Linked DNA regions of Canis lupus familiaris. The protein of the gene in region 1 purifies or fractionates together with the protein of each later gene. This does not show direct contact. Links are inferred from orthologs where the notes say so. Each region holds a gene or a part of one and is shown in the gene's direction. Other genes may lie near its edges. The genes, in order: CDC26, ANAPC1, ANAPC2, ANAPC4, CDC27, ANAPC16 and ANAPC7.

Evidence for each region.
Region 2: the proteins of CDC26 (region 1) and ANAPC1 purify together in Homo sapiens (co-immunoprecipitation; 6 studies listed by BioGRID and IntAct, with this or other methods). This does not show direct contact. The link is inferred for Canis lupus familiaris from reciprocal best matches to the Homo sapiens genes CDC26 and ANAPC1.
Region 3: the proteins of CDC26 (region 1) and ANAPC2 purify together in Homo sapiens (co-immunoprecipitation; 7 studies listed by BioGRID and IntAct, with this or other methods). This does not show direct contact. The link is inferred for Canis lupus familiaris from reciprocal best matches to the Homo sapiens genes CDC26 and ANAPC2.
Region 4: the proteins of CDC26 (region 1) and ANAPC4 purify together in Homo sapiens (affinity purification with mass spectrometry; 11 studies listed by BioGRID and IntAct, with this or other methods). This does not show direct contact. The link is inferred for Canis lupus familiaris from reciprocal best matches to the Homo sapiens genes CDC26 and ANAPC4.
Region 5: the proteins of CDC26 (region 1) and CDC27 purify together in Homo sapiens (affinity purification with mass spectrometry; 12 studies listed by BioGRID and IntAct, with this or other methods). This does not show direct contact. The link is inferred for Canis lupus familiaris from reciprocal best matches to the Homo sapiens genes CDC26 and CDC27.
Region 6: the proteins of CDC26 (region 1) and ANAPC16 purify together in Homo sapiens (co-immunoprecipitation; 5 studies listed by BioGRID and IntAct, with this or other methods). This does not show direct contact. The link is inferred for Canis lupus familiaris from reciprocal best matches to the Homo sapiens genes CDC26 and ANAPC16.
Region 7: the proteins of CDC26 (region 1) and ANAPC7 purify together in Homo sapiens (affinity purification with mass spectrometry; 5 studies listed by BioGRID and IntAct, with this or other methods). This does not show direct contact. The link is inferred for Canis lupus familiaris from reciprocal best matches to the Homo sapiens genes CDC26 and ANAPC7.

Annotation. Positions count from the first base shown.
Region 1 is NC_049232.1:68,048,891-68,052,927, reverse strand, and holds the start of CDC26 (anaphase-promoting complex subunit CDC26), read left to right. Parts: upstream 1-1,237; 5' UTR 1,238-1,398; intron 1,399-4,037. Other genes in the region: PRPF4 (U4/U6 small nuclear ribonucleoprotein Prp4), read right to left, coding at 1-105, 1,054-1,080. UniProt on the Homo sapiens protein: Component of the anaphase promoting complex/cyclosome (APC/C), a cell cycle-regulated E3 ubiquitin ligase that controls progression through mitosis and the G1 phase of the cell cycle.
Region 2 is NC_049238.1:36,479,244-36,482,743, reverse strand, and holds part of ANAPC1 (anaphase-promoting complex subunit 1), read left to right. Parts: coding exon 1-137; intron 138-360; coding exon 361-581; intron 582-1,437; coding exon 1,438-1,644; intron 1,645-3,500. UniProt on the Homo sapiens protein: Component of the anaphase promoting complex/cyclosome (APC/C), a cell cycle-regulated E3 ubiquitin ligase that controls progression through mitosis and the G1 phase of the cell cycle.
Region 3 is NC_049230.1:48,462,357-48,466,482, forward strand, and holds the start of ANAPC2 (anaphase-promoting complex subunit 2), read left to right. Parts: upstream 1-1,326; 5' UTR 1,327-1,497; coding exon 1,498-1,602; intron 1,603-1,801; coding exon 1,802-2,424; intron 2,425-3,582; coding exon 3,583-3,715; intron 3,716-4,126. Other genes in the region: SSNA1 (Sjoegren syndrome nuclear autoantigen 1), read right to left, coding at 248-355, 689-888, 1,275-1,326. UniProt on the Homo sapiens protein: Together with the RING-H2 protein ANAPC11, constitutes the catalytic component of the anaphase promoting complex/cyclosome (APC/C), a cell cycle-regulated E3 ubiquitin ligase that controls progression through mitosis and the G1 phase of the cell cycle.
Region 4 is NC_049224.1:85,510,380-85,514,481, reverse strand, and holds the start of ANAPC4 (anaphase-promoting complex subunit 4), read left to right. Parts: upstream 1-1,302; 5' UTR 1,303-1,485; coding exon 1,486-1,614; intron 1,615-4,102. UniProt on the Homo sapiens protein: Component of the anaphase promoting complex/cyclosome (APC/C), a cell cycle-regulated E3 ubiquitin ligase that controls progression through mitosis and the G1 phase of the cell cycle.
Region 5 is NC_049230.1:17,538,416-17,541,915, reverse strand, and holds part of CDC27 (cell division cycle protein 27 homolog), read left to right. Parts: intron 1-368; coding exon 369-468; intron 469-1,463; coding exon 1,464-1,671; intron 1,672-1,871; coding exon 1,872-2,044; intron 2,045-3,500. UniProt on the Homo sapiens protein: Component of the anaphase promoting complex/cyclosome (APC/C), a cell cycle-regulated E3 ubiquitin ligase that controls progression through mitosis and the G1 phase of the cell cycle.
Region 6 is NC_049225.1:23,616,251-23,619,750, forward strand, and holds part of ANAPC16 (anaphase-promoting complex subunit 16), read left to right. Parts: intron 1-288; 5' UTR 289-315; coding exon 316-457; intron 458-3,500. UniProt on the Homo sapiens protein: Component of the anaphase promoting complex/cyclosome (APC/C), a cell cycle-regulated E3 ubiquitin ligase that controls progression through mitosis and the G1 phase of the cell cycle.
Region 7 is NC_049247.1:8,464,090-8,467,589, reverse strand, and holds part of ANAPC7 (anaphase-promoting complex subunit 7), read left to right. Parts: intron 1-941; coding exon 942-1,084; intron 1,085-3,048; coding exon 3,049-3,166; intron 3,167-3,500. UniProt on the Homo sapiens protein: Component of the anaphase promoting complex/cyclosome (APC/C), a cell cycle-regulated E3 ubiquitin ligase that controls progression through mitosis and the G1 phase of the cell cycle.

The DNA of each region.
Region 1 (4,037 bases):
TTTGGCCAGACGCTCCCTCTCCTTCTCTTCCAAACTTCCGTAATAGATGTGTGGTTTCTTCACAACAGGAGCAACTAAGTCATCAGGTGCCTTAGTTTTGGTTGCCTGATAAATCAAAGACACGGATTAACCTAAGGTCTGATACTAACCACTTATTAGGCTTCCCCCAAAGGATGGAGCTCATCCTGAGCTTCAATCCTATTTTCCCCCCAAATGAAAAGGACAGGTCGGACACCAGTTCAGGTTATCTTCACTGACTGGGGGGCGGGGTGTCTCTCCAAGCTACTTAGGTTCTGCAGACGGGAAGAGGCTAATAGAACTAGTCCATCATTATTCTTGGTAACTTTTCTATCAAAGATTTGCTTTGGAACATGTCTGCATCATTCCGTGGCAACCTCTTCTTGGGTTTTATGAAATTTCCAAGGTTACCCCTCATCACAGGGGCAGTATCAAGGAGAACAACCAACGCAGTATTAAAGGGGGGCAAGTTAGTTACTTTTCGGTACATTTCAAACGTTTTCAGAGTAAGGCAACACATATGAAGTTAGGAGGCCAAACTGCAATGAAGTCTGACACAGACGTGAATCTGGGCCTTCTAGAGCTCAGGTTTTGGAGCAGTCGGAAGAGGTATTTACCGTTCGGGCCTGTAGTGAGGGGTGCAAATGAATTAAAACACGGGAACGGGGGGATCCCTGGGTGGCTCAGCCGTTTAGCGCTGCCTTCGGCCCAGGGCGTGATCCTGGAGTCCAGGGATCGAGTCCCGCATCAGGCTCCCTGCCTTGAGCCTGCTTCTCCTCCCTCTGCCTGTGCCTCTGCCCCTTTCTCTGTGTCTCTCATGAATGAATGAATAAAATCTTTACAAAAATAAAAATAAATAAAACACGGGAACGTACTTCGGGGTCTGGAAAACGCTGCTCCTCTAAGGACCGAGTCTCTCAGCCTTTCACCTCCGACCTCCACCGCCTTAGCCCGTTCCCCGAGGGACCCCATTTCGCAGGAACCGCCCCCCCAGCCCCTTCCGCGCTCCCCGCCAGAGTGAGTGGAGTTCCGTACCGTGGAGGCGGCTCGTGAGGAAGCCATGCTGAGCTCCGCGGCCGCCAAACCCCGGCGAAAGCCGAGCTCTGCGTTTTCAGACCGTCCACCGCGCGCCCGGCAAAGCGGAACTGCGTCACTGGCCGGAAGTGGGCCGACGCAGCGTCGTGGGTGGCGTGGGGCATGACGGGAGTAGTAGTAGGGAAGCGTCGTGGCGCCAAGAGTAGCGTGAACTTAAGGAGAAAAGCACGCGGCGGACGAGACTCTGCAGAGCAGTCTGGGAAGTGTAGTCCCGCTCGCTTAGCTGAAGATTCGCGGTGGGCGCCGCCGGGGTTCCGGGAGGAGGCCGAGCAGGCTTGGAAAGAGGTAGGTGCGTCGGGCCGCGCGGCCGCGGGCTGAGCTCCGGAGCAAATGGAGGGCTTCCGAGGCCTGCCGTGGCCCCCGGCCCCGCGAGGGGCTGCGGTGGGCCCGGAGCGGAGGGCCAGGTTGCCATGGAAACCCTCGCTGTGGGCCCGCGGGTGCCACTCTGCAGCTGGTCGCCCTCCCCGCTGTCGGGAGGTTGTCCCAGGGCCCTCCTTGGAGCGGGCTGAATGCGCAGTGGATTCGGGCGGCGGCCACCAGCTCCCAAGTAGAACGGAGGCCCGGAGGAGGAGCCACGGCCTGCTTTTATTGCTGGTCTTCAGCCGAGTGTTTGTACCGGGGTCGGAGTGAGGCGATGCCTGTCAAGTGCACACGGGCACCTCTGCACGGCCTGGGTACCGCGGGGGCGGGGGGGGGGGCGGGCTGCGGCATCCGACAGGAGCAAGGCCAGGGCTTTCCCCCCTGTCGGGGGTGGAGATGCTTGAAGTTTGGGTGATTCTCGGGCCGGACGGAGGCCCCCCCCCCCCCCCCCAAGGACAATTAGGATGATAATAATAATAATAATAGCTGGTGTTTATTGGGCGTTTACTAAATGCCAAGTTGTGTTCCAGGCACTTACACTGCCGTACCTCACTCAGTCTAGACAACAGAGGGCAGAACATGAGGAAACCAGCGTCCACTGTGAAGATGAAGCTAGTGTCCCAGAGGGTTGGCGTGTGGGATTAGAGCCCCTGCCCTCTGCCCTTGGGCCTCCTGAGCGAGCAGCTTTGCCCATCACTCGGTACTGCCTCCTAGTGGCGAGCTTTACAAAGTTTGCAGAAAAGTGAGGAACCTGTACGGCAGGGTTTTTTTTTTTTTTTTTCCCTCCCCTACTCTCCCTTGGAACTTCGGCTTCCTCTACCATTTGTTTACATCGGACTTAAGAGAGTATCTGATTTATTTCTTTGATTTTACCTTTTTTTTTTTTTTAAAAAGGGAAGATTTTTATTATTAAGTGATTCTACACCCAATGTGGGGCTCAAACTTAGAGCCCCCACATCAAGAGCCCCATCCATGCGCCACCAACTGAGCCAGCCAGGCGCCCCAAGATATTATCGGATTCAGTGTGCTAGTATTTTATGGTGAGAATATCGCCTGTTCTGTTCCAAGCTTCACAAAGGATACATTTTTTTCTTTCTATGCTTCCAGTCTGTAGCTACATCCAAGATGTAATGATAATTTATACCTGTACATACTTTTTAAATTAAGATTTTATTTATTTATTCATGAAGGATAAATTGAGAGAGAGGCAGAGACACAGGCAGAGGGAGAAGCAGGCTCCCTGCAAGGAGCCCGATGTGGGACTCGATCCTTGGACTCCAGGATCACACCCTGAGCCACGCAGGCGTCCCTAATTTTTTTTTTTTTAATAAGGAGGCTCCACACCCAATATGGGACTTGACCTCATGACCCTGAGATACTACTGACCAAGCCAGCCTGGCACCCCTATAGCTGCATGTGCTTTATTTATTTATTTATTTTTAAAGATTTATTTATTCATGATAAATATTCAAACGCAGAGAGAGAGGCAGAGACACAGGCAGAGGGAGAAGCAGGCTCCATGCAGGAAGCCCGACATGGGACTCAACCCCTGGTCTCCAGGCTCACACCCGGGGCTGAAGGCGGCGCTAAACTGCTGAGCCACCAAGGCTGCCCTGCATGTACTTTAAAGGAGCTTTCTTTGACATCATTCTCATCTAATCCTCACCCCTGTGACCTATGTATAATTTTTATGGCAGGCTGACATCTATTAACCAAACTAAAAAGCTTCAACTGCATTTATAAAATAGAGGTAATTTTGCCAGCATTCACAGGGTTTCTGTATTCAAGTAAAAAATGTAAAGAATGGGAATGGAAAAGTGTAGCACAGTGTTCCAAGTGTTCACTTTAAATTGTACATTTTAGGGACACCTGGGTGGCTTAGCAGTTGAGCATCTGCCTTCAGCTCAGGCCATGATCCCAGGGTTTGGGATTGAGTCCCGCATCAGGCTCCTTGTCGGGAGCCTGCTTCTTCCTCTGCCTATGTCTCTGTTTCTCTCTCTGTGCCTCTCATGAATAAATAAATAAAATCTTAAAAAATATTGTACACTTTATTTTTTAAGATTTTATTTATTTTTGAGAGAGAGAGCATGGGCACGAGCAGAGGAGAGGGGCAGAAGACGAAGCAGCCTCTCCACTGAGCCAGGAGCCAGATGTGGGACTTGATCCCAGGACTCCTGGATCAGGACCTGAGCCAAAGGCAGACCCTTAACCAACTGAGCCAGCCAAGCGCCCCTCAAGTGCTCACTTATTTGGGTTTCTCAGTTTATTCAACAACACATGTACTGACTGATTATTACAGATACACTCTGCTTGATGCTGTGGAGAATATAAAGATGATGCCTTTAACAGGTTTTAAATTGACTTGGGGAGTGTCATTGTCCCTAAAAATTTTTTTTGTTAGCATAAGCATTACCTTGAGTTTTCAGACTCAGGAATGTTCTCTTGAGCCTCTTTGTGTCTTGTTCCCTCTCTCTTACTCCCCTTTCTCTGCCTGCCCTCATAAGTCAGCTAAGAGATTTCCTCCAGGAAGCCTTCCTTGTCCCTGTCTACCCTGCACTCCACCC
Region 2 (3,500 bases), on another chromosome or scaffold:
GTTCATCAAGGGTGCAATATGTTGTAGATCATGCAATGAAAATTGTTTTTCTCAACACTGAGCCCTCCATTATAATGACCTATGACACTGTTCAAAGTTTGCATTCTGTGTGGGCTCTCCGGAGAGTCAAAACAGAGGTAAGGATAAAGGCAAGTCACATCTTAGTAGGAAAGGATAGCTAACACTGAAAACTTTCACATGTGTTTGGGAGAATCATTTGTGAAATGCATTGAGCTTTATAGGAAAAAGGAAATATTGTGTCTTTAATAACTGGCTTCTACCCTGAATTCTCACCAGGAAATTACCCTTTTAATCTAATTATTGCCTTTTTTTCCCCCCTTCTCATCATTTTGACTTAAGGAAGAGAATGTTGTCTTAAAGTTCTCTGAACAGGGGGGAACCCCACAGAATGTGGCCAGTAGTAGCTCCCTCACAGCACACCTCAGAAGCCTCTCCAAAGGAGATTCTCCCGTGGCTTCACCTTTCCAGAATTACTCCTCCATTCACAGTCAGAGTCGCTCGACCTCCTCACCCAGTCTACACTCTCGTTCACCTTCTATTTCCAACATGGCAGCTCTAAGGTGGGAATTAAGTGTGGAAGTGTTTCCTTGTTTTAACAGGATCTCCCAAGAAAGAAATACCTTCTTTTCAAACTTTCTCTTATTGTTACGAAAGATTTATGATCTCTGTTGACAGCTCTTGGGTATTTTTTTTTACAGAAAATAGTAATTATCCCAGTTGTGTTACTTTTACTAAGTAAAAGCTAGTTTTTTTTTTAAATGAGTCCTATTTAGAAGCTGGCTGTGTTTGCAGTAAGATTGGTTGCCTCATTACCACTAAATGGCAGCAGTTTGATGAATATCAATTGCAAAAATATTTTGCAATGATTCGTTTCTTTGGAGAGGGAGGGAGGGAGGGAGGGAGGGGGCGGGAGGGCTTTTTCTTTCTCTTTTCTTTTCTTTTTCTTTTTCTTTTCCTTTCTTTCCTTCCTTCCTTCCTTCCTTCCTTCCTTCCTTCCTTCCTTCCTTCCTTCCTTCTTTCTTTCTTTTTTGTTTGCATTAGCTTTTTCATTTTTATTAGTGTATACCTGGTAATATGGGGACATAGTTTTGTTGGTATGTATGTATCTGGATATATAAGAATATAGTTTGGACCTTTTGGAATAATAAAAACAATTCATGTTCTGAGGCAGAAAATGAACTAATTTTCAGTTTTAAAAGTAAAGGATGAATTCTAACAACAATTTTAAATCTTTGGAACGTAATAAAGCACATTAGCGTGAACCATTTAAGTAGTTTTTCCCTTAAAAAAATATTTCTGACTGGGATTATGCCATGAATGCACTTGGTACCTAGAGTTTTAGAAATTGTGATTGCAAAGTATGTTCCATCAGTCTGCCTTGTTAATTGTGATGCCCTTTCTCTGTTTGTTTTGCAGTCGTGCTCATTCTCCTGCCTTAGGAGTGCACTCTTTTTCAGGGGTGCAGAGGTTCAACCTTTCAAGCCATAATCAGTCTCCAAAGAGACACAGTATTTCCCACTCTCCAAATAGCTCTAATGGCTCCTTCCTTGCACCAGAAACAGAGCCAATTGTTCCTGAACTTTGTATTGACCATTTATGGACAGAAACGATTACGAATATAAGGTTTGGGATATATATTTTTATATTCGAAGAAAAATGTGGGTAAAAGTCTTAAAAAATATTTAGTGTTTTACTTAAGGTTTCCTTTTAATCTTTTAATATAACTAATTATATAAAAACATAAATATTAAGGCTACCTTAGTTTCAATAGAGGATATTAATGATATTAAAGTGATTATAAAAGTATTCTCTTATCATTTCTTATTTCTTCCATAGTAGTAAAAATCTCTCAGATTTGAGGTGTTTGATGTTTTAGGGAGAAACAACTAATTTCTGTATATTAAGAAACTTGGGATTTTATAGTATTTTTAAAGTTTTATCTTTATGTTAGTTGAGTGTCAGCTGTTTTTGGGAAATGCAGCTCAGATCTCTGTTCTGTGTGGCCTTTCTATTATTTTCTCTTTGATCATTCATTAATTCAGCCAATTCCAGTGTGTGTGCTAGTGGCTGTGGGTTAATAGGTGTTCCTCTCCTGAAAAAGAGACAGCTGAAGGTTGGTGACACAGAGGCACTGCCTACTTTACTGATAGGGCCTTGGGAAGATGAATAGGTATTTGTTGGGGAATAAAGGGAAAAAGGACACAGTAGGCAGGGCGATCAGAAGTTCAGAAGTATGAGTATGTAATATGTGCAAATACTCTCTGCTTATCCTGGAAGGAAGGGCAAGGTTTGAGAAAGGGGAGGCTAGAGAAAGATTGCCCTTTAGGGCTGCTGTATATGATAAAGGCTGTTAAGAAGGTGCTTTATATGTATGGGTCATAAACTCAGAGGAAAGAGCAAAGCAATAAATGTGGGAGTTGTTGGCTTATAAGTGGTGATTTGGGCAAGAGAGGTAGATTGGAAGTCAAAGAGTGTGTAGATGTTGGTTTCCTGGAAGGCCTCTGGATGAGTTTGCATTTGGCAGAGGTTCCAGTAACGTAGCATTATATAGTAATCATGTGCACGTGTGATGTATAGGACTTTTCCTAAAGAGAGGGTTTTAACATTCATTAGATTCTCATAGGGGATCTGAGTCCTCCAAATAATTGATCTGGTGGTTGTGAGTCAGAAGAGTGCTAGAGACTAAAGTCTTGGAAACTTAAGATTTTGGGGGTAAAAAGGGAAAAAGAGACAAAGCTGGAGAGGTCAAGTGGGAGAAGCAGCAGAAGTGTCATGGAACACTGGAAAAGAGAGCCTTTCAAAAAGAAAGCTGCCAGTATTACCAGGTGCTGATGGGGGTGGCACTAAGTGATGAGCTCAGGGAGGTGGTATGTAGGTGGCAGTGAGTTCACTGGTGACCTTGGCCGGAGCACTTGGAGAGGGGCTGTGAAGTGGAATGGGGTGGAAGAAGTGAATGGGGAATGAGGAAGTGAACATTGACATACAGATTATTTTAAGGATTGCCTTTGAATTGGGATGAGGAAACAAATTAGAGGGAGTCTCAGGGTCAAGGGAGAATTTTCTTGCTGAATTACATTAGAGAAAATTAGTCTTTGAGACTAAATATCTTGGCATGTATCTCTAAAACATAAGAACATCTTACCACAAGGCCATTTTTATACCTAGCCAGTTAACAGTACTTTATATCATTTATTATTCAGTCCATCTTCATATTTTAAGATTTTTATCTTAATATGAGAGAGTAGGCTGCAAGGACTATATCCAAAGTAGGGAAAGCATTGAAAATACAGGAGAGAGGAAATGACTGATAGAACTAGGAACCAGAAAGGAGCACAAGTGGAGAGATTAGCCTTGGGGAGAAAGATGAAAGGCAGTGATGGTTATTAGATACATAGAGAAGAGGTTGGGCTCAAGTCCAGTTTTCTCTGTGATGCAGAAGGCAAATGTATGTTGTTAGGGGATAGGTATAGTTGGAGGAA
Region 3 (4,126 bases), on another chromosome or scaffold:
GACCTCAGGCCCTGAACAGAACTGACCCAGAGCCTGCACTCCCCAAGTCCTGCATGAGTACAAGGCCGGGACGTGCCCAGAGGTTTCCTTGTCACCTGGGGCAGGTGGAGCTTGGCAACAGCCTCTTGGTACCTGAGACACTGAAAGGGGGCAGCTGGTGCCAAAAAGAGTAAAGACGCTGAGGATAGTCGGAGGCCCAGCCACTGCCGGGCACAGTAGAGGCAGGCCCCTCCCCAGAACGGCCCCATCAGCTGTCCTTAGCTCCGCTGCTCTTCTGCTCTGAGGCTGTGGCCTTGGTCAAGTTCCCAGCTTCCCTCTTCAGGACACTAAGCAGAGTCTGCGAGCTCTCCAGGATCTGGAAACAGACGTAGGATGGTCACCACCACTCCTCGCCAGCACTGAGCTGTGGGGCAGCAGTGCAATGAAGCCCCTGAAGGGCAGGTCAGACAGGGTCAGCAGGGCCCGTTCCCCCTAAGACTAGCCCAAAGCCCCTTCCTCGCACCCCAGGGAAGCCAGTCTAGGTTAGCTGAGCCCGGGGCCGCTCTTTGCTCATGGTCTGGGAGGACAATGGTGCAGAAAACAGGACTCCTGACCTGCCAGGCCCCCGACAGCCTCACTGACACCTAACCGGGATCCTGTCGCCCCTGCGTTTGGCCGGCCCTAGACTCCCCCGGGGCCCCAGCCCCACCTTGAGGTAGGCGGCTTCTGTCTCCGCGATGGTCCGGTCAAACTCGTTTCTAGAGGCAATCTTGCGGGCCAGGTTCTCGTTGACGCGAGCCAGTTTCTCGGTCAGCTGCCTCACTTCATTCTGCAGCCGCTGCTTCTCGTCTTCCTCCTGCTGGATCTGCCGGCACAACTCCTCCCGCTTCTGGCACAACTCCTCGATGCCTGGGATGGGCGAGCGGGAGGGCACACGCTGTGGACCCAGGGCAGGAGGGAGCACAGCACCCCTCCCACTCTGGAGCGTGCCCGGTGCACTGGACGGTGCGCACCCCTCGCACCCTGGACCGTGCGGGGGGCGGGAGGCGGTGCACGCTCTCCCCTTCCGCTCTGTCCCTCACTGCGCAGATACCCGGCGCCCGGGCGAGCGGCACAGCGGCTGTCCCCCTGGCTCGCCCGCAAGGCCCCCGGCGCCGTCCCGGCCGAGGCCCCACGCACGGACGGTGCAGCCCGTTGGGCCACGCGCGGCAGGCCCGCCACCGCCTGGACCCGCAGGCCGGCGAGCCCCGCGCCCTCCCAGCCCACCAGGCGGACCCCGCCGCGAGGCCGCTCACACTTGACCAGTTCGTTGTTATAATTCTGCAGCGCTGCGCCCTGCTGGGTCATGGTGACCGCCCAGGCCGCGACCACCCCAACCGCCGCTACTGCATCGCCGCTCCCGCCTGCGCGGTGCGTCCGACGGCGCGCCCTCCGAAACGTCACCGCTGCGCGCCGCTCGTGTGCGTCATCGCCGCGCGCCGCACCCGGAGCTCGGGGGACCTGGAGGGGGCCGCGCAGATGGCGGCGGCGGGGCGCGACGGCGACCCCGGGCCCGCACAGGAGCTGTTGCTGGCCTGGAACACCGTGAGCACCGGGCTAGTGCCGCCGGCCGCGCTCGGACTGGTGAGGCCCCGGGAGAGGGCAGCGGGCCCGCGCGGGGTCCCTGGGACGTCCGCCGGGTGGGCGTTGTGCTCCCGGACAGCTCCTACCTGGCGTCGGCCGCAGCCTCCCCTCCGCTGCGTCCCTTCCCCACTGCTCCCCGTCCGTCCCCGCGCTTTCCGCGTCCCTCCGCGTTCCCTTCTCACGGTTTTCTGCACCGCAGGCGTCCTCCCGCACCAGCGGTGCGGTGCCGCCGAAGGAGGAGGAGCTCCGGGCGGCGGTGGAGGTGTTGAGGGGCCACGGCTTGCACTCGGTGCTGGAGGAGTGGTTTGTGGAGGTGCTGCAGAACGACCTGCAGGCCCACATCTCGCTCGAGTTCTGGAATACCATCTCCCAGCGTGAGAACTGTGCGGACGAGCCCCAGTGCCTTCTGCTGCTCCTTGACGCCTTCGGCCTGCTGGAGAGTCGCCTGGACCCCTACCTGCGTAGCCTGGAGCTGCTGGAGAAGTGGACTCGCCTGGGCTTGCTGATGGGCGCAGGCGCTCAGGGGCTTCGGGAGAAAGTCCATACCACCTTGCGGGGCGTCCTGTTCTTTTCCACTCCCAGAATGTTTCAGGAGATGATTCAGCGCCTCTACGGGCGGTTTTTGAGAGTCTACATGCAGAGTAAGAGGAAGGGGGAAGGGGGCACAGACCCGGAACTAGAGGGGGAGTTGGACAGCAGGTACGCCCGCCGGCGGTACTACAGACTTCTGCAGAGCCCCCTGTGTGCGGGGTGTGGCAGTGACAAACAGCAATGCTGGTGCCGCCAGGCCCTGGAGCAGTTTCACCAGCTCAGCCAGGTCCTGTGAGTACTTGTGGCTGTGGCCATTTCCCTGTTCTTCTTGACTCTAGATTACTTTCCTGGGTCCAGCGGCCTCTTCAGAAAGCTGGTGAGCTGGCTCTGGGGAGGGGGGCATCTCTGCCCTGACAGTCCTGGACATTACAAAGGGACAGTCCCCAGGGTCCCTGTGCTGTGAATTTATACTCTTTGTCCTGGATAAAAAGAACAAGTATCTCTGCCACTCACGCTAATCTCAGGTTTCACACTGCGTGCACACCAAGACCCTATGTGATTCCAGATTTCCGGTCACATACAAGTCTGCTGTGTCTTCTGTAGGCTCTCCAGGGAAGGGAAGATAGTTATCCTCTCCTATAATTGCAAAAAAAAAAAAAAGAGAGATTTTTTTTTTATGCTTTCCAGGACGAGCTGGGGATTAGGCCAACATGCTGGCAAGCAGATTGTCTTTCCAGTTTTTTTTTTTTTTTTTTTTTTTTATTAGTTCATGAGAGATACAGAGAGAGAGAGAAGCAGAGGGAGAAGCAGGCTCCATGAAGGGAGCCTGACGTGGGACTCGATCCCAGGTCTCCAGGATCAGGCCCTGGGCTGAGGACGGCACTAAACCGCTGAGCCACCAGGGCTGCCCTTTCCAGTCTTTAAAGAGGAAAGGGTTTTGTTGTTATTAAAGCCAGGTTCTGACCTGTTGACCTTTTGTCCTTTGTGGTTGCTTATAACAATTTTGTCTCATTGAGTGAAGCAACAGCAGTGCAGCTGTTAGGGAGTGGTCCTGTTGCTGGCAGGGGTCAGGGAGCCCTGAATGGCTTTCACTGGGTTCATCTCAGACACAGAAACATGCTTTCTCCTCGCCTCTTGACTCCCTTTGCCATTGCTGACCAGGGTTTGCACCAAAAGGCATAACTGAGGACTTCTATACATGTGACCAGGACAGGGATGTGTTTAGCTATTGTTTCAGAGTCACATTTGGGAGATGAGGCTTTGGCCCTGAGAGCCACACCCACCACACACACAGGGAAGGCCAGGGTGTCAGCCCAGTCAGGGAAGTCAGCTGGGGAGGGCAGGGCTGTGTCCTCCCAGCAGCTTATTTGAAGCCTTTGTTATAGAGGGCATGGGAGGTGGGGGAAAGGATTATGTTTTATGTGCTCCACGGGCAGGGCTCTCCTCCAGACACAGGCTCAGTCTGTTGGAGCGGGTCAGTGCCGAGGCTGTGACCACCACCCTGCACCAGGTGACCAGGGAGAGGATGGAGGACCGCTGCCGGGGCGAGTATGAGCGCTCCTTCCTGCGTGAGTTCCACAAGGTAAGGACAGCCTCTTAGGCCCTATCCCCTGCGGACTGTAGAATAGGTTTCTAGCAAACCTGACCCCTGGTTTTATTTTTTTATTTTTTATTTTTTTTAAGGATTTTATTCATTTATCATGAGAGACACAGAGAGAGATAGGCAGAGACACAGGCAGAGGGAGAAGCAGGCTCCATGCAGGGACCCTGATGTGGGACTCGATCCCGGGACTGCAGGATCATGCCCTGGGCTGAAGGCAGACACTCAACCACTGAGCCACCCAGGTGTCTCACCCCCTGGTTTTAGAAGCGGCGAGAGTGTATGGAGATGGGTGAACCAAGACCTGGAGGGTGGTGGAAGCTGTCTTGGTGCTGAGTGGAGGCTGGCCCTACTGACAGCAAGAGACCCCCCGTGCCATGCTCAGCACAGTCT
Region 4 (4,102 bases), on another chromosome or scaffold:
GGGCCAAAGGCAGGCGCCAAACCGCTGCGCCACCCAGGGATCCCTGGGGAGGACTTTTTATGGGGCATTGTTCCATACTCCGTACCTGTGACTGATTGCAGGTTAGGCTCATGATAGGGCTTGGTCTAATCACGGCAAAGCTCAGGGCTTTGGTCTTGTGATTGGTGAAGAGGCCTTCGTTCTCTCTCTGAATGCAGAAGCGCGTAGATCCAGTTGCTGATGGCAGCTTTCCTCCGACCCCGGGGGGAGCCAGCCTCATGATGGTGTCCGCCCTGAGCTTGGTCCTCGATGTCTCCTGAGTCCCTGGATCTAGCCTGCCCTGAGGTCGGCTCTGCTTCTGGACTTGTACATGAACCAATACATTCTAGTTATTACTTCTGCCACTTTGAGTTGGGTTTTTTTTTTTTTTTTTGTCATTTAATAAATGCAACCCTCGTAGGATGAGAGATTCCAACACCGATCTACGTCCATCTCTTTCCAGCCAATTTTTTACTTTGTATGTTTCACCGATTTTATGACTTGGACCCCTCCAGATGACAGCCTCTCGCATGGCCTAGAGGAGTCACAGCCCACATGGTTCCCGCTTCCATTCCTGAAGGTGCGCGGGCCCGGCCTTCTCCCCGTCACACCTGACCTCGCAGGGTCCTGTGGGTCGTCACGGACTCGCACTCCGCCCCGGACACCCGCCTCGCTCCCGCCGCCGCCCTGCCCGCCTTCCCTCGGCCCTTGACACGTGGCCGCGTCAACCCGCATCTCCGCCCCGGCCGAGCGCAGCCTAAGCCTTTCAGGGCGCGGCCCCCGCCCCGGCCTCGGGCCTCCTGTAGGTCCTCTGCCCCGGGAGGTCCTCCGCGGGAGGAGGCCTGGGTGAGCGCGCAGCCCTCGCACTACCACCTGCTACCGCCTGTCAACCGCCGGCCTTACTGGGACAGTCGAGCTAGTTGCCCGCTCAGGGGGTTTGGAGCTGGGGGGCCCCGCCGCGCGCCCCCGCCTCCGCCCCCCGCGCGCTCCCGCTCCCCTCCGCGCGCCCCCGTGTCCCCGCCCCCCTCCGCGCGCTCCCGCCCCCGCCCCGTGCGCGCCCCCGTCCGCGTGTCCTCGCCCCCGATTCCCGCGCGCCCCCGTGTCCCCGCCCCCCTCCGCGTGCCCCCCGCGCGCTCCCGCCTCCCGCCCCCTCCGCGTGTCCCCGCCTCCCGCTCCCCTCCGCGCGCCCCCGCCCGCGTTCCTCGCCCCCGCGCGCCCCCGCCCCGCGCGCCGCCGGGTCTTCTCGCGAGGAAGTCCGGGCCCGGAAGTGCCGGCAGCGCGCGGCGGCGGCGGGCGGCGGGCGGCGGCGCGGGGGCTCGGGCGCGCGGCGGGTGGAGGAGCGGGGAGGCGGGGGGAGGTGGTCCGGGCGGCGCGGGCCGCGGAGAGGGACCCCCGGTACCGCCTGGCCGGGAGCCCCCCCCCCCCCTCGGCGGCGTCCGACCGGGGAGTCCCCGCAGGGCCGCCCCCATGTTGCGTTTCCCGACCTGCTTCCCGTCCTTCCGGGTGGTGGGAGAGAAGCAGCTGCCGCAGGAGATCATTTTCCTGGTCTGGTCGCCCAAGCGCGATCTCATCGCTTTGGCCAACACGGCCGGCGAGGTGAGTGAGCCCGAGCCCGCCACGGCGAGCGCGTGCCGCCGGCCCGGCCTCAGTTTCCCCGCGGCCGCCCTCGCTGGGCCGCGGCCGCCCCCCCCCCTCCCCCCCCTTCGCAGAGCGCGTCGGGAGCGGCCGCGGGAGGCCCCCAGGATGGGCCCATTTCCCGTATTGCGAGGCGAGAGCGGCGGTCCTCGCGCAGCGGAGTCGCTCGCCCGGCGGCCCGGCATCCCCGAGTCTGAGTCCCGTCGAGTCCTTCATTTGTCAAATGGGCGTTTGGGAAGCCCGTGGCGTGTGGCGCGTCCCCTGGGCATGCTCGGGCCTCAGACGGCGCGTCTCACGGCAGGTTCGAAGATCTAGACTCTCTTGGCCAAGTGTTCATTCTTATTTATTATTTTTTTTTTAAAAAAGATTTTATGTATTCATGACGGACACAGGGCGAGAGGCAGAGACGCAGGCAGAGGGAGAAGCAGGCCCGGTGCAGGGAGCCCGATGCGGGACTCGATCCCGGGACCCGGGGTCACCACGCGCCCCTGAGCGCTGAGCGCCCGGGCGCCCCTTGTCCAAGCTTCCTCCTGCGGATCGCGGGGCCGACTCCTACTAAGAACACCTGTAAAGCAAGGGAATGATGCTTGCCTGGGCCCACGGGGCGCACCTGAGTGTTGTCACCTGGCGTTTCTAGTTCCCAATCACGTTCGGCCTCATCACGGGTAACCGCTGCATCTACCTTTGTCCTGAGGGCCCCGGTCACCCGGCAGCCATTTTGTAAGGAAACCCTCAGCCCCGCAGGTCTCCTCCTTCCCCGGCAGGTAGGAGTTGTGTGCAGACCAGCTGGGACCCAGGGGTAAGGAATACTTAGCAGCCTGCAGAGCCGCGGCGCATGCCGGCTGCTGCTACCTCCTCACCCGGCGTTGCTGCCTCCTTCCTCAAGGCTCTCCATGTTACCTCCTGGCCGCTGCCCTCTGCCACCGTGCCCTGGAACCCTTCCTGCTCCGGAGGGGGGTGCAGATAGTACAGCCGCGGCAGTAGGACGGAAGGGAGAGCAGGGATCGGTGGGACTAGATGTGTAGATGTCATAGCGGGCCTTTGTGCCCCTTTCCTCAGTGAAGGAGGAGCACCGTCTAGGAGTGAGGGCGGAGAAAATACTGGTAGTTGGAGAAGTGCGGGGTATGAAAAGCTCATGAGGCAAGTGGACTAGGGAAACTTAGTAAGGTTGCTGGTCAGGGGACACCTGGGGTGCTCAGCGGTTGAGCATCTCCCTTCAGTTCAGGTCGTGAGTGACCCCAGGGTCTCGGGATGGAATCCCGCATGGGGCCCCCTGCAGGGAGCCTGCTTCTCCCTCTGCCTGTGTCTCTGCCCCTCTCTGTGTCTCTCTCATGAATAAATAAATAAAATCTTCAAAACAACCAAAAAAAAAAAAAAAACAAACACACAGATTGCTGGTCAGAATTAAGAGCCACAGGAGGTTGGTTGTCTTGTAGTTTGGCGGAATCTAGTGAGCATGGTTGTGTCTCTGCTGTTCTGTTTGACTCCGTGGGTGTAGGCATGGTTGGGTCTCACCAGGGTGTTGTTTTGCAAGTGTGACATAGCGACAGAGATGCAAGGGAGTTAAAGTTACATGTAAGAGGAGCGATGGTATTGGTGGTCCTTGGATTCTAACACAATTAAGTATGGAAGTGGGGGGGGGGTTGTGAGTGAGGGACAATGAGTAGGTGCAATCGTGTGTTACATGGCTTGGTGAGGTTGAAGAACTGAAGTTGAGTGTTAGTAGGAATGAGCTAGAAGGGTAGAGGCAGTGATGGAAAGTGGAAGGTTTGAAACTTTATGGCAGCACTTGTAACTGTAAGGACAAGGTCAAGGGCATGACCCTGGGAGTGACAGGTGAGTAGAAGACATGATCACGGGAAGAAAGGTAGTTGGGAACTGGAAAGCCAGGACACCGTAGCTCTTGAAATCACCAAGAATGGTGATGAATGGTGTTGGAAAGCATGACACGAGTCCCGATGTTCCAGGCAGGAGGGAAATGGCCAAGGGGCTTTAAATGATTAAGAGGGGTAGTGGGTGGTCTTGTGTGATTGCATATGATTCAGAGTTGGAGGATTTTAGAGAAGAAAAGTCATCCAGAGATGTCATCGGACGTCAAGGAGGAAGCCTACTTCATCTCCTGGCCCAGTAGAGTGGGGAGCATGGGATAGGGAACAGCTCTCACCTGAGAATCCTGCTGGAAAGCAGTGTCTCTGGGTGACAAGCACTTTTTGGAGAAGAGAAGGAAGATATGGGGATCTTGGTGCTACCTGACCATGAGGCAGCACTGTATCCAGAAGATACAGAAGGAGGGTTTCAGAAGTAAGGGATGGCAGAGATGGGCTCAGACAAGAGCGCTGAGTCTAGGGAATGAAGGATTCCTTGGGAGTCCTGGCTTCCCTGTGGGGCCCAGTGTGCCCGGAGTGAAGGAGGCTGCGAGCTGAGGCCGGGAGAGGAGCCGCTGTAGAGT
Region 5 (3,500 bases), on another chromosome or scaffold:
TAGACTGTCTGTATCCAACTATCTTTCTCTAACTCGCTATGGTTGCAAATGAGAGCTAGAGAGTATTAGTTTATAGACATGTTTATCATTTATTGATCCAGAATTTTTATGTGGATTGTTTTAAGTTCAAATTAGCAATTTCATATAGAGTGAATATCCATGTTATAATTTTTATCATTTTATGGTAACAGATAACTTTTAAATCCTGAGTTTTCATAGAGGGATGACAAATAGACCAACCAAACTCAAGAACTTTAGAGTACAAACATGATGAATGCATTTTTTAAAATGTATCTGAATTGAAACAAGTAATGGTCATAAACTGTTTTTTTTTTTTAAGTCCACTTTTATCTTTTTTTTTTTTTTAGTACAACACCTCAGGTATTGAGCCCCACTATCACATCTCCCCCAAACGCACTGCCTCGAAGAAGTTCACGACTTTTTACTAGTGACAGCTCTACAACCAAGGTAATTTAAAGATTTCTGTTATATATACTTAATGCTTAGCCTTCTTAAATTTCTGTTCATTGATGACTTTATCTCAAACACAGAGACTATTTTAATTTTTTTTAATTTGTAAAGCTGTCTATAACATTTGTAGATTTTCTCCGTCCTTTAATAATGTCCTTTTTAAATAAATATTATAAAACATTGTTCAAAAGACAAAATTATTATGATGGGAAACAAATTAGTGGCTATTAGGAGTTAAGACTGTGGGGGGAAGATGTGACTATTAGAGCATAGCACAAAGGAGTTTCTTTGTGTAGTGGTCGAACAGTCCTGTATCCTTATTGTAATGGTTGATTATGCGAATCATACAAGTGATAAAATTTCATAGATCTGTCACACCAAAAAATAAGTACATGTCAAAACTGATGAAATCCAAATAAGATCTTAATTTAGTTGACAGTACTGAACTGATTCCAGGGTCATGGATTTGTTGATGTCCTGTGGTTATATCAGATAGTATCACTGGGAAAATTAGAGGGAGGATAAATAGAAGTTTTCTGTGTTTTCTTTGCATATTTCTTTGTACAGTTGGAGGGCCTCATTATGCCCTTGGTAAATTTTCTTGGTCCATTGACAAATATTATGGATAATTTTTAATTTTGACATCAACAAATCAACAGTTTTATGACTTACCAGTTACAATGCTCTGAGACAACTAGGTAGTATTACATCCATTTATTTTCTTATTTTAAATAATAAATGAAAGTGATACACTTTGAGAAAAGAGCAACGAACACATAATGCTGATTTATATTACACACTAATTCGTGAATACAATTTATTTTGCATTTAAAATTAAATGATTTTGAAAATTTTGTTTCTGTAATTTTTTTGTGAGAAAAATATAGCCCAGTCAAGACTATATATTTATTTTGTGTCTGATACTTGAGAAAGGACTGGGAAGTCTAAAATACATGAGTTTAACAAATGTGGAATTTTTCTCTTTTTTACAGGAGAATAGCAAAAAGTTAAAAATGAAGTTTCCACCTAAAATCCCAAACAGAAAAACTAAAAGTAAAACTAATAAAGGAGGAATAACTCAACCTAACATAAATGATAGCCTGGAAATTACCAAATTGGACTCTTCCATCATTTCAGAAGGGAAAATCTCCACAATCACACCTCAGATCCAGGCATTTAATCTACAGAAAGCAGCAGCAGGTCTGTTTTAAATGCTTAATATCTTCTTTGTATTTTATTTTATTCACTTTAAGTTTTTTTATGTTCATTAAAGTACATTCCAGTTTTTTCTAGATAGATATTGGAATTTTTAATAAATTATTTTGTAGTTAGCCTTTCTAAAAAAATCAAACTGTTTTATTGTGTTTTTCTCCTTTGTTTACTATATTGTTTTCTCCTAGAAGGTTTGATGAGCCTTCTTCGTGAAATGGGGAAAGGTTATTTAGCTTTGTGTTCTTACAACTGCAAAGAAGCTATAAATATCTTGAGCCACCTACCTTCTCACCACTACAATACTGGTTGGGTACTGTGCCAAATTGGAAGGGCCTATTTTGAACTTTCAGAGTACATGCAAGTAAGTATAGAAAACTATTATACATGCCTTTTTTAGAGAGAATTTAATTAAAATGCCTATGCTCGAGACAGATTTAAAAGGTAAATATTTAGGGGTACCTGGGTGGCTCAGTCAGGTAAGCATCCAACTCTTGATTTTAGCTTGGGTCTTGATCTCAGGGTCATGCATTCAAGTCCTGCATTGGGTTCCACACTGGGTGTGCAGCCTGCTTAAATTTAACAAAACGAGACAAAAAAAATAAAAGGCCAATATTTATTATGTAATGTCTTTATGTATATTTTCTGAGCATTTTAATTTATAAATAGACAATTTTTTCTTGTGTTAAGGGGTAATTCAAATTTGAGGGAATTGCTTATTTTAGAGAATCCAAGTCATCTATATGTTTTGTTATGTTTGGTTTTAAGATTTTATTTATTTTAGAGCTCAAGTCAGGGGAGAGGCAGAGGGAGAGGGAGAAAGAATCTGAAGCAGATTCCATGTGAGTGCAGAGCCTTACAAGGGCTCTATCTCAAAACCCTGAGATCATGACTTGAGCCAAAAATCAAGAGTTGGACGCTTAACCAACTGAGCCATCCAGGCACCCACATTCGTATATTCTTAGACAGACATTTGTACCCTGCTCAGTTGGATCCAAAGATATATTACCATGTAATAGATATTTATAATCAAAATTTTTTTCTACTATATGCAGAGTTCCTACTGGGATGAATTTCTGGCATTTAATATGTTTTATAAATTTGAAAAGTGCCATAAAGAAAACTGTATATAATCAAGGACATAATGTCCTTCGCAAGGCTTTTATCCTTTTAATTATGTTTGTTGCTTAAGTTACTTGTTTACCAGGAAAGAAGAAAAGAAAATTCTGATTTTTAATTTAAATTTTGTACCCACTTCACCCCTAAGTATTTCCCTATTTACTTTCATTTATTCAGTGCATATTATAGATTAATATTCTCTTCTAGACTCTGTAATACAGCTAGACAAATAATTGCTTGGCTTTCTAGAGCTTGCATTCTAGTAAGAGATTGTAAGCCAATAAATGTATAAGGACAGGTAGCAATAAGTCATAGGAAGAAAAAAATGAAGCATGGTAAGAGAATTGCAGGACAATAATAAATATGTGGTGCTATATATTAAAAAAACATGCTCAGAGAAAGGAGGTGACTCCTTCCTCCATGAGCCATGCAGATCTGAGAATGAAGTGTTCTTCCAGGTAGAGAATAGATACAGAAGATATTAACTCATGTACTTTTGTATGGAAAAGAAAGAAGTATTGCTGTAGACAGATAGCCTTATTCATTGCTATAAGTTCCATGTTTGGATAATGGTCCTTTACTGATACATAGACAAAAGCTATGTTTGGCAAGCCCTTTTCAAAATTATTTCTAATTTGTTTCAGAGGTACTTTAAAATACATAATTTTAATTGTTTCCCTCTAATTATAGAACAGTGACCC
Region 6 (3,500 bases), on another chromosome or scaffold:
TCATAACCCATAAATCACCCACAGTCGATCCCAAGCCATATAAACAGTTTGCTAATGATAGGAAGTAAGTGTTTTAAGTAGAAAAACAGAATAAACATACTTTCACATAAAATCCTGAGAGACATTTTGGTATGAGGCATCAGTAAAAGATTGTGGGAACAGAGAGGGTAGAAAAAGGGGGAGCTAATTCTTTACTAAACTGTATGCTGGCTTTTATGGCAGCTAGAATGAAATGTTGTCAGTCTCACTTCCATAAACTTGCCAATTGCTGTTTTTCTTTCTCTGTAGTGAAGTGAGAATTCTGCTAGAGAGGAAATGGCTGCCTCTTCATCATCCTCCTCAGCTGGTGGGGTCAGTGGAAGTTCTGTCACTGGATCTGGTTTCAGTGTCTCAGACCTTGCCCCACCACGGAAAGCCCTTTTCACCTACCCCAAAGGAGCTGGAGAGATGTTAGAAGGTGATCTCATGCTGCTTTTTGCTGAATAATTGGATTCTGACCTGCAATGAATATTAATTGTAAAGAAGCTATTAAGCAGATTAGAGACAAGTTTGCCCTGATTTCAGCTCCACATTTCATCACTTGTCCCCATTTCAAAATATTATGCTCAAAACACAGATCTTTCTCCAGAATCAAAATTTTGGAGCTGAAAAAAGCTTTGGAAATCAAGGAAGTCATCTAGACTTATTTAGACCCAGAAAAGTTAATGTGATTTGACCACATTAAAGACAAAGTCAGCACTAGAACCAAGAATTTTCTTGACCTCCTTCTCCAGTTTGCTTTATTCCTGGCACCAGTCTGCCTCCCTATAATGAGTAGGTTTGATACATTTCTTTCTAATGTAATTAATCTACTCCTAGATTAACCTCATCAAATAGGTTCTAAGAGGAAATAAAAATTAATATACTACTCTTGTATGTGAAGATGGCTCCCTTGGCCCACTGTAGAACAGTACTGTATGGTTTTTCTAGCACGGGAGCTGGGTTTGTATCAAATCATCCACATCCTACTCAGCACACATTTGCAAACTGGCTAGCCGGGATCAGAGCACAGGCTGTAAGCATGACACTGCATTGATACCTGAAATTCATGGGATACGTGTCACTTGAGGAGCTAGACCAGTAAACTCTTAATAGGGAGCATAAAAATCACCTGAAGAGCTTATTTAAAATGCACATTTCTGCCCACCTTAGAGATGCTAAATTGGTCTAGGGTGCAGCACAGAAATCTTTTCTTTTGACTGACATTCAAGGGATGCTCACGAAAGATTCTTCCATAACTATTAAACCGTCACACTTTGAAAAAAGTCAGCAAAGAACTATTAAGGATTCAAAATCTACCTGATTCTAGCACTTTTGTGCTTAGTTATGTATTGATCTTTTTTACTTTAAATTGCAAATTTTGGTAAGTATATTTAAAAATTAATCTAGAAATCTCTGAGCAAGGTACAAACTATAGTTAGGAGTAAGCTTTTTGGAGTAAACTTTATTCATTTATATCAGGTGAAAAGAGTTTTGGGTTAAAGCCAGAACAAACAGAAGAATCATTTGTGACTGAGAGACATGAGAAAACTAGGACCACAAGCCTCTCTAGAATTGGTTCAAATCAAGTTGGTGAATTAGTCAGGTAATATAGTTAGTGATATATCTGAGATGTATGTACTTCTGTCTTTGCCTTCTCGTTTTCTTTAGTTTTGTTAACTGAATTCTTGAATTAGTATCACTGACTCTAGATGTAATGAACAATTGGGGCCTTGTTTACCATATGTGACACTACATTTTTGACGTCTTATATGCAGCAGAGACCTGGTGTTAAGGAAGTTGCCCACAAAAAATCAAAAGTTGGAGGCACTTAAATTGCTTAATGAGTCTTACAGCAGCAGAAAAGGAATTGATGTTTAACAATGGACTCTAAGATTGAAGTCATTTAAATCCTAGCTACAGGAGAAATTTAATACAGGAGGTACCTCCTTAGTCTCAAAGCTATAAGCATTCTGTATCAGTATACTCCAGATTACTTGGAAACATTAAAGAAGAAAGGCTCCTGAGATTAGTCTGAATGTTGAGGTTCTAACATGTTTTAGTTCTATCCATTTTTACTCCATCCCAGTATGCTCCATGGAAGAATGTGTTGGCTTTCTGTTGTAGGACGAATTTATATTAGGTTTAAATTCAAAATGCAAAAAAAAATAAAAAATTCAAAATGCAGAGTTTTCATTCCCTTTCTTAGGTTTAAAGTTTTAGCTGTATTTTAAAGCTACTTACACTTAAGGACAGACTATGAAAAATTAGAAATGGTAATCCATGAACTATCCTACTCAAATAAAAAATGTTAAATTGAAAGAGTACTGCTAAATGAAATTTAATAAGAATGTTAGATTTAGAAGCATATTCTACAATGTTTATAGGTGATGCTATTATACAGTTAATCTAATGCACAGGTACCTGACCATTTTTCTTAGAGTAGTTTAATCAAATATGAAAACAGAGTAGGAAAAGTTGCCTTTTCACAGTAAGGAAGAAAAGCAATCAGGAGCCAAGGTTGGATACTATTTATAATCTTAACAGGTTCAAATTGATCTTGCATCCTTCTGTGAAACCCAGATAACGTACTTAACCTTTTGAATAAACATTCTTTTGCATCCAATCTAGACACTTCACATAAGCAATGTATACATGGTCCCCAATTTACTGATGGTTCGACTTAAGATTTTTTTACTTTACCAGGGTGCAAAAGCTATATGCATTTAGTAGAAAGCATACTTTGAGTTTTGAATTTTGATCTTTTCCTGAGCCAACAATATTTGGTTCGGTAATCTCTTAGGATGCTGGGCAGGGGCAGGGAGCCACAGTTCTCAGCCAGACGATCACCAAGGTAAACAACTGATATACTTACAACCATTCTGTACCCATACAACCATTCCTGGTTTTCACTTTCAGTATGGTATTCAATAATTTACATGAGATATTTGACACTTTATTATAAAATAGGCTTTGTGTTAGATGATTTTTCGCAACTGTAGGCTAATGTAAGTGTTCTAAGCATGTTTAAGGTAGATTAGGCTACCTAATGATGTTTAGTAGTTTAGGTGTAGTAAATGCATTTTCAACTTAGTATTTTTAGCTTAGAATGGGTTTATCAGGATATAACCCCATCATAAACCGAAGATCTGTACAGCAGTTTTCAGCATTCTTCCTGCCCTTGGCTATGATTGTCCTCACTCAGATTAGGGAGCAAATTAGAGACTGCCTTCCAGCCCAGAAGTAGCTGAATTTTAGTGACATTGTAGGCTGCTAAAGCATAAATTATCTGGCAGTGTCTAATTTCCTGCTGTGAGGTAATATTCTTTTAAATGAATCTGATAGCATCCTATTTATTGGAGTTGGCATGATGTTAGATTTGGGCAATTTACTGACCTTTTCACTACTTATAACCTTTGCTTGTCCCTTAGGAGGAAAACTGATGTATTGCTACTTGGTGTGTTACAAAGGGTTTGATTACA
Region 7 (3,500 bases), on another chromosome or scaffold:
TAATTCAGTGTTCTTGAGGCCCTTTGTATGGAGGTCTGATGTATCTAAATTAGCAAAATAGAAATATGAGATGTTTATCTCTCAGCCTGTTGTCCTCAGGCTTGCTTTTTAGTCTCTTAATGTACCTAACGATACTAAGGGTAATAATCTCTGCTGTGAGGACCTGTTAAATGTAAACTTTGACTAAGTTCAGCTCTGTATTTGCAAAAGTGATAACCCTTGCAAAGCTGGCTGCCTTAGTTGTCATGCTTGAACCTGGAAGAACATCTTTTTGAATGTCCCAGAAGCATAGATTGCAGCATCTGACCTGGGTTGCCTCTTTAGAACTGGGATTTTCTTTTCTAGTCAGGTAAAGTCCAAGGATAAGGGACTGAGTTTTTTGTTCTGTAAAATCATTTGGTTGAGTAATAAGTAGCAGTCACTTTTGAATGACATTACATTTAGGGATCCCTAGGTGGCGCAGCGGTTTGGCGCCTGCCTTTGGCCTAGGGCGCGATCCTGGAGACCCAGGATCGAATCCCACATCGGGCTCCCGGTGCATGGAGCCTGCTTCTCCCTCTGCCTGTGTCTCTGCCTCTCTCTCTCTCTGTGACTATCATAAATAAATAAAATTTAAAAAAAAAAAAAAAAAAAAAAAAAAAGAATGACATTACATTTAGCACCATGTTGTCCTCTGAAAACCTGCAACCAGAAAGTTCTTTCTGGGTAATGACAGAGATTTCTGCTTCATTCTGTATATTGGCTTTGTTATCCTCTGTAACTTTCTTTAAATCATAAGCTCAGAAAAAGAAAAGCTAGTCTATACAGTTTATTTGAAAAGTTTCTTATTATGAAAAATGTTAAATATACACAAAAGAAAATAGTGCTTATATACCTGTCATTGAGATTCTGAAATTAAGAGGATTCATAATACATGTTAAACAATGTTTAATATTTTGAAGTTCACTAGAGAAAAAGTCCTTATTGCGAGATAACGTGGACCTGTTGGGAAGCTTAGCAGATCTGTACTTTAGAGCTGGAGACAATAAAAACTCTGTCCTCAAGTTTGAACAGGCACAGATGTTGGATCCTTATCTGATAAAAGGTAAGTAATTTTTGAAGCATGGTGGAAGTGGCTGTAGTGGGGAGGATCAGAAAAGAAAGGGAGAGGGGATCCCTGGGTGGCTCAGTGGTTTGGCGCCTGCCTTTGGCCCAGGGAGTGATCCTGGAGTCCCAGGATCAAGTCCCGCGTCGGGCTCCCGACATGGAGCCTGCCTCTCCCTCCTCCTGTGTCTCTGCCTCTCTCTCTCTCTCTCTGTCTATCATAAATCTTTAAAAAAAAAAAAAAAAAAGAAAAGAAAGGGAGACAATATACCATAATACTCTAATACCATTTTTCATAGAACTATTGTGAAACTTATTTCAGTAGCCTTTTACTTTTTTTAGGTCCTAATACGTGCCTCTTAACACTTGAGTAATTCCATTTTAAGCAGTTGTTTTTGCTTGAATTCAAGTGTCATCTCCAGGCAGATCATTATTTGGCTCTTTTTCTTTTGGGAGGAGTGATAGCCCTTCCTTATGATTTATAAATTTATGGTGTGCCTGACAGAATTTGGATGGCATCCCCAAAACCATAATATCCTTTTAGGGGATTTAGTTTTACTGTGACCTTAGTATACTTAAAAGCAAGTAAGTGAACAGGCATTAAGAGAGGACTGAGGTGATTAAAGGAAGTAATTAGGAATTAACAACAACACAAAATCCTTGATCTCAAAGATTGTAACTGAAGAGGTGAGCCATAGGGACTTCCAAAGGATGAGTATCCAGTGACTGGCAGTGAGTGTGGGAAGGTATTGATAGGCTGAAATCTGCTTATAAAGTCCTAAAAGAAGCCATGAGAAAAATATGGCCTGTTGACAGTTTTTAGTCCTGTAGACTCTTAAGGCTACAGAGCAGGGAGATGAGAAAACAGATGCAGAAAGATGAAATTGTTTGCTCAACGTCTCCCTCCTGCCCAGTGCTTATTTCTCCTCTCAGTTGCCTGTGCCCATGATGAAAATGGTGTATTAGAAATACTAGTCTGGCAGTAGTTAGCAGCTTGGAGTTGAAAGCTCAGGCCGAGTTTAGGGGCCAGCAGAGTATTGCAGTGATCTTGGCAAGAGAGACGTTTTCCTGGGAGTCTGAAGAGATAACAAGGAATGAGGGAGATGGTGGTAAGAGATGGGTGACAGCAAGCAGGGACCCTTTTATAGAACACAAGTAAGAATAAGCAGAGTAAGGGTGATCTTAAATCCGCTGGGCCAGAAAGAACTAGATGCTTTTTCTGGAATAAGCTACTTTTTCTGAGACTAACTGCATATTAAGTGTGCACTCTTGAAGAAAAGAACTTATTTGATGCCTTTTTTGGGCTTTTTCTGGTTATGAGTTAGGATAACTGCACATCATGTCACAGGTTATAGGGACAAACAGTTCCCAAAGATAATTGGCTTTCAAAATTGTGAGTTGTAGGTTCTTCTACTCTTTTGCTTTTTAAACTTTTTGGATGTTTTGTCTTTTTAATGGTCTTTTTTTTTTTTTTTTTTTTAAGATTTATTTATTTATTTGAGAAAGAGATCAAGTGCTAGCAAGCCAGCATGGGGGTGGGGCAGAGGGTGAGGGAGATTCTCAGGCAGACTCCCCTCCCCTTTGGGTACAGAGCACAATGTGGGGCTTGATCTCATGACCACAGGAGACAAAATCAAGAGTCAGATGCCCAACCAACTGAGCTGTCCAGGTGCTCCTTTAATAGCCCTATTGTAGGAAAGTGTGAATGCTGGTGGGAGGAGCTCATGATTGTGGAAAGGGCCCAGACCATGCTGGAACTGAGGCTTGAGTGGGGGTTCTGATGAAGGCTCTTGCTCTCTTTTTTTTATGCACCGGGAGCCTGATGTGGGATTCGATCCTGGGTCTCCAGGATCGCGCCCTGGGCCAAAGGCAGGCGCCAAACCGCTGCGCCACCCAGGGATCCCAGGCTCTTGCTCTTTTAATAAAGGACACCTGCTGCTTTTTAAAAATCCTCTTCCTTTCCAGGAATGGATGTATATGGCTACCTCCTGGCAAGAGAAGGGCGGCTAGAGGATGTGGAGAATCTTGGCTGCCGCCTTTTCAATATTTCTGATCAGCATGCAGAACCCTGGGTGGTCTCTGGGTATGTTTATGCGTTCTCTTTTCTCTCCAGTTTTCAGTACATTCTTTGGGAAATTGATAGCATATAGGTTGAAAACACAGATTGAAAAGATAATCAGATTCAGATCAAGGTCTTTGACTTTGGACACATTAGTTACCTTTCTTAGTCTCTTTTCTCAGATTTTCATGGAGTAAATATCAGTTGAGATAGTGCATTGTGCTCAGCACTGGAAGCCATCATTGAAGGCCAGAAGCTGCTGCTTTGTTATTTATCATGGCTTTGCAAATTCTCTGAATATCTCTCACATGTAACATATCCAGATACCAGATTTTTTTCCCTTCCATATCAAATTTCC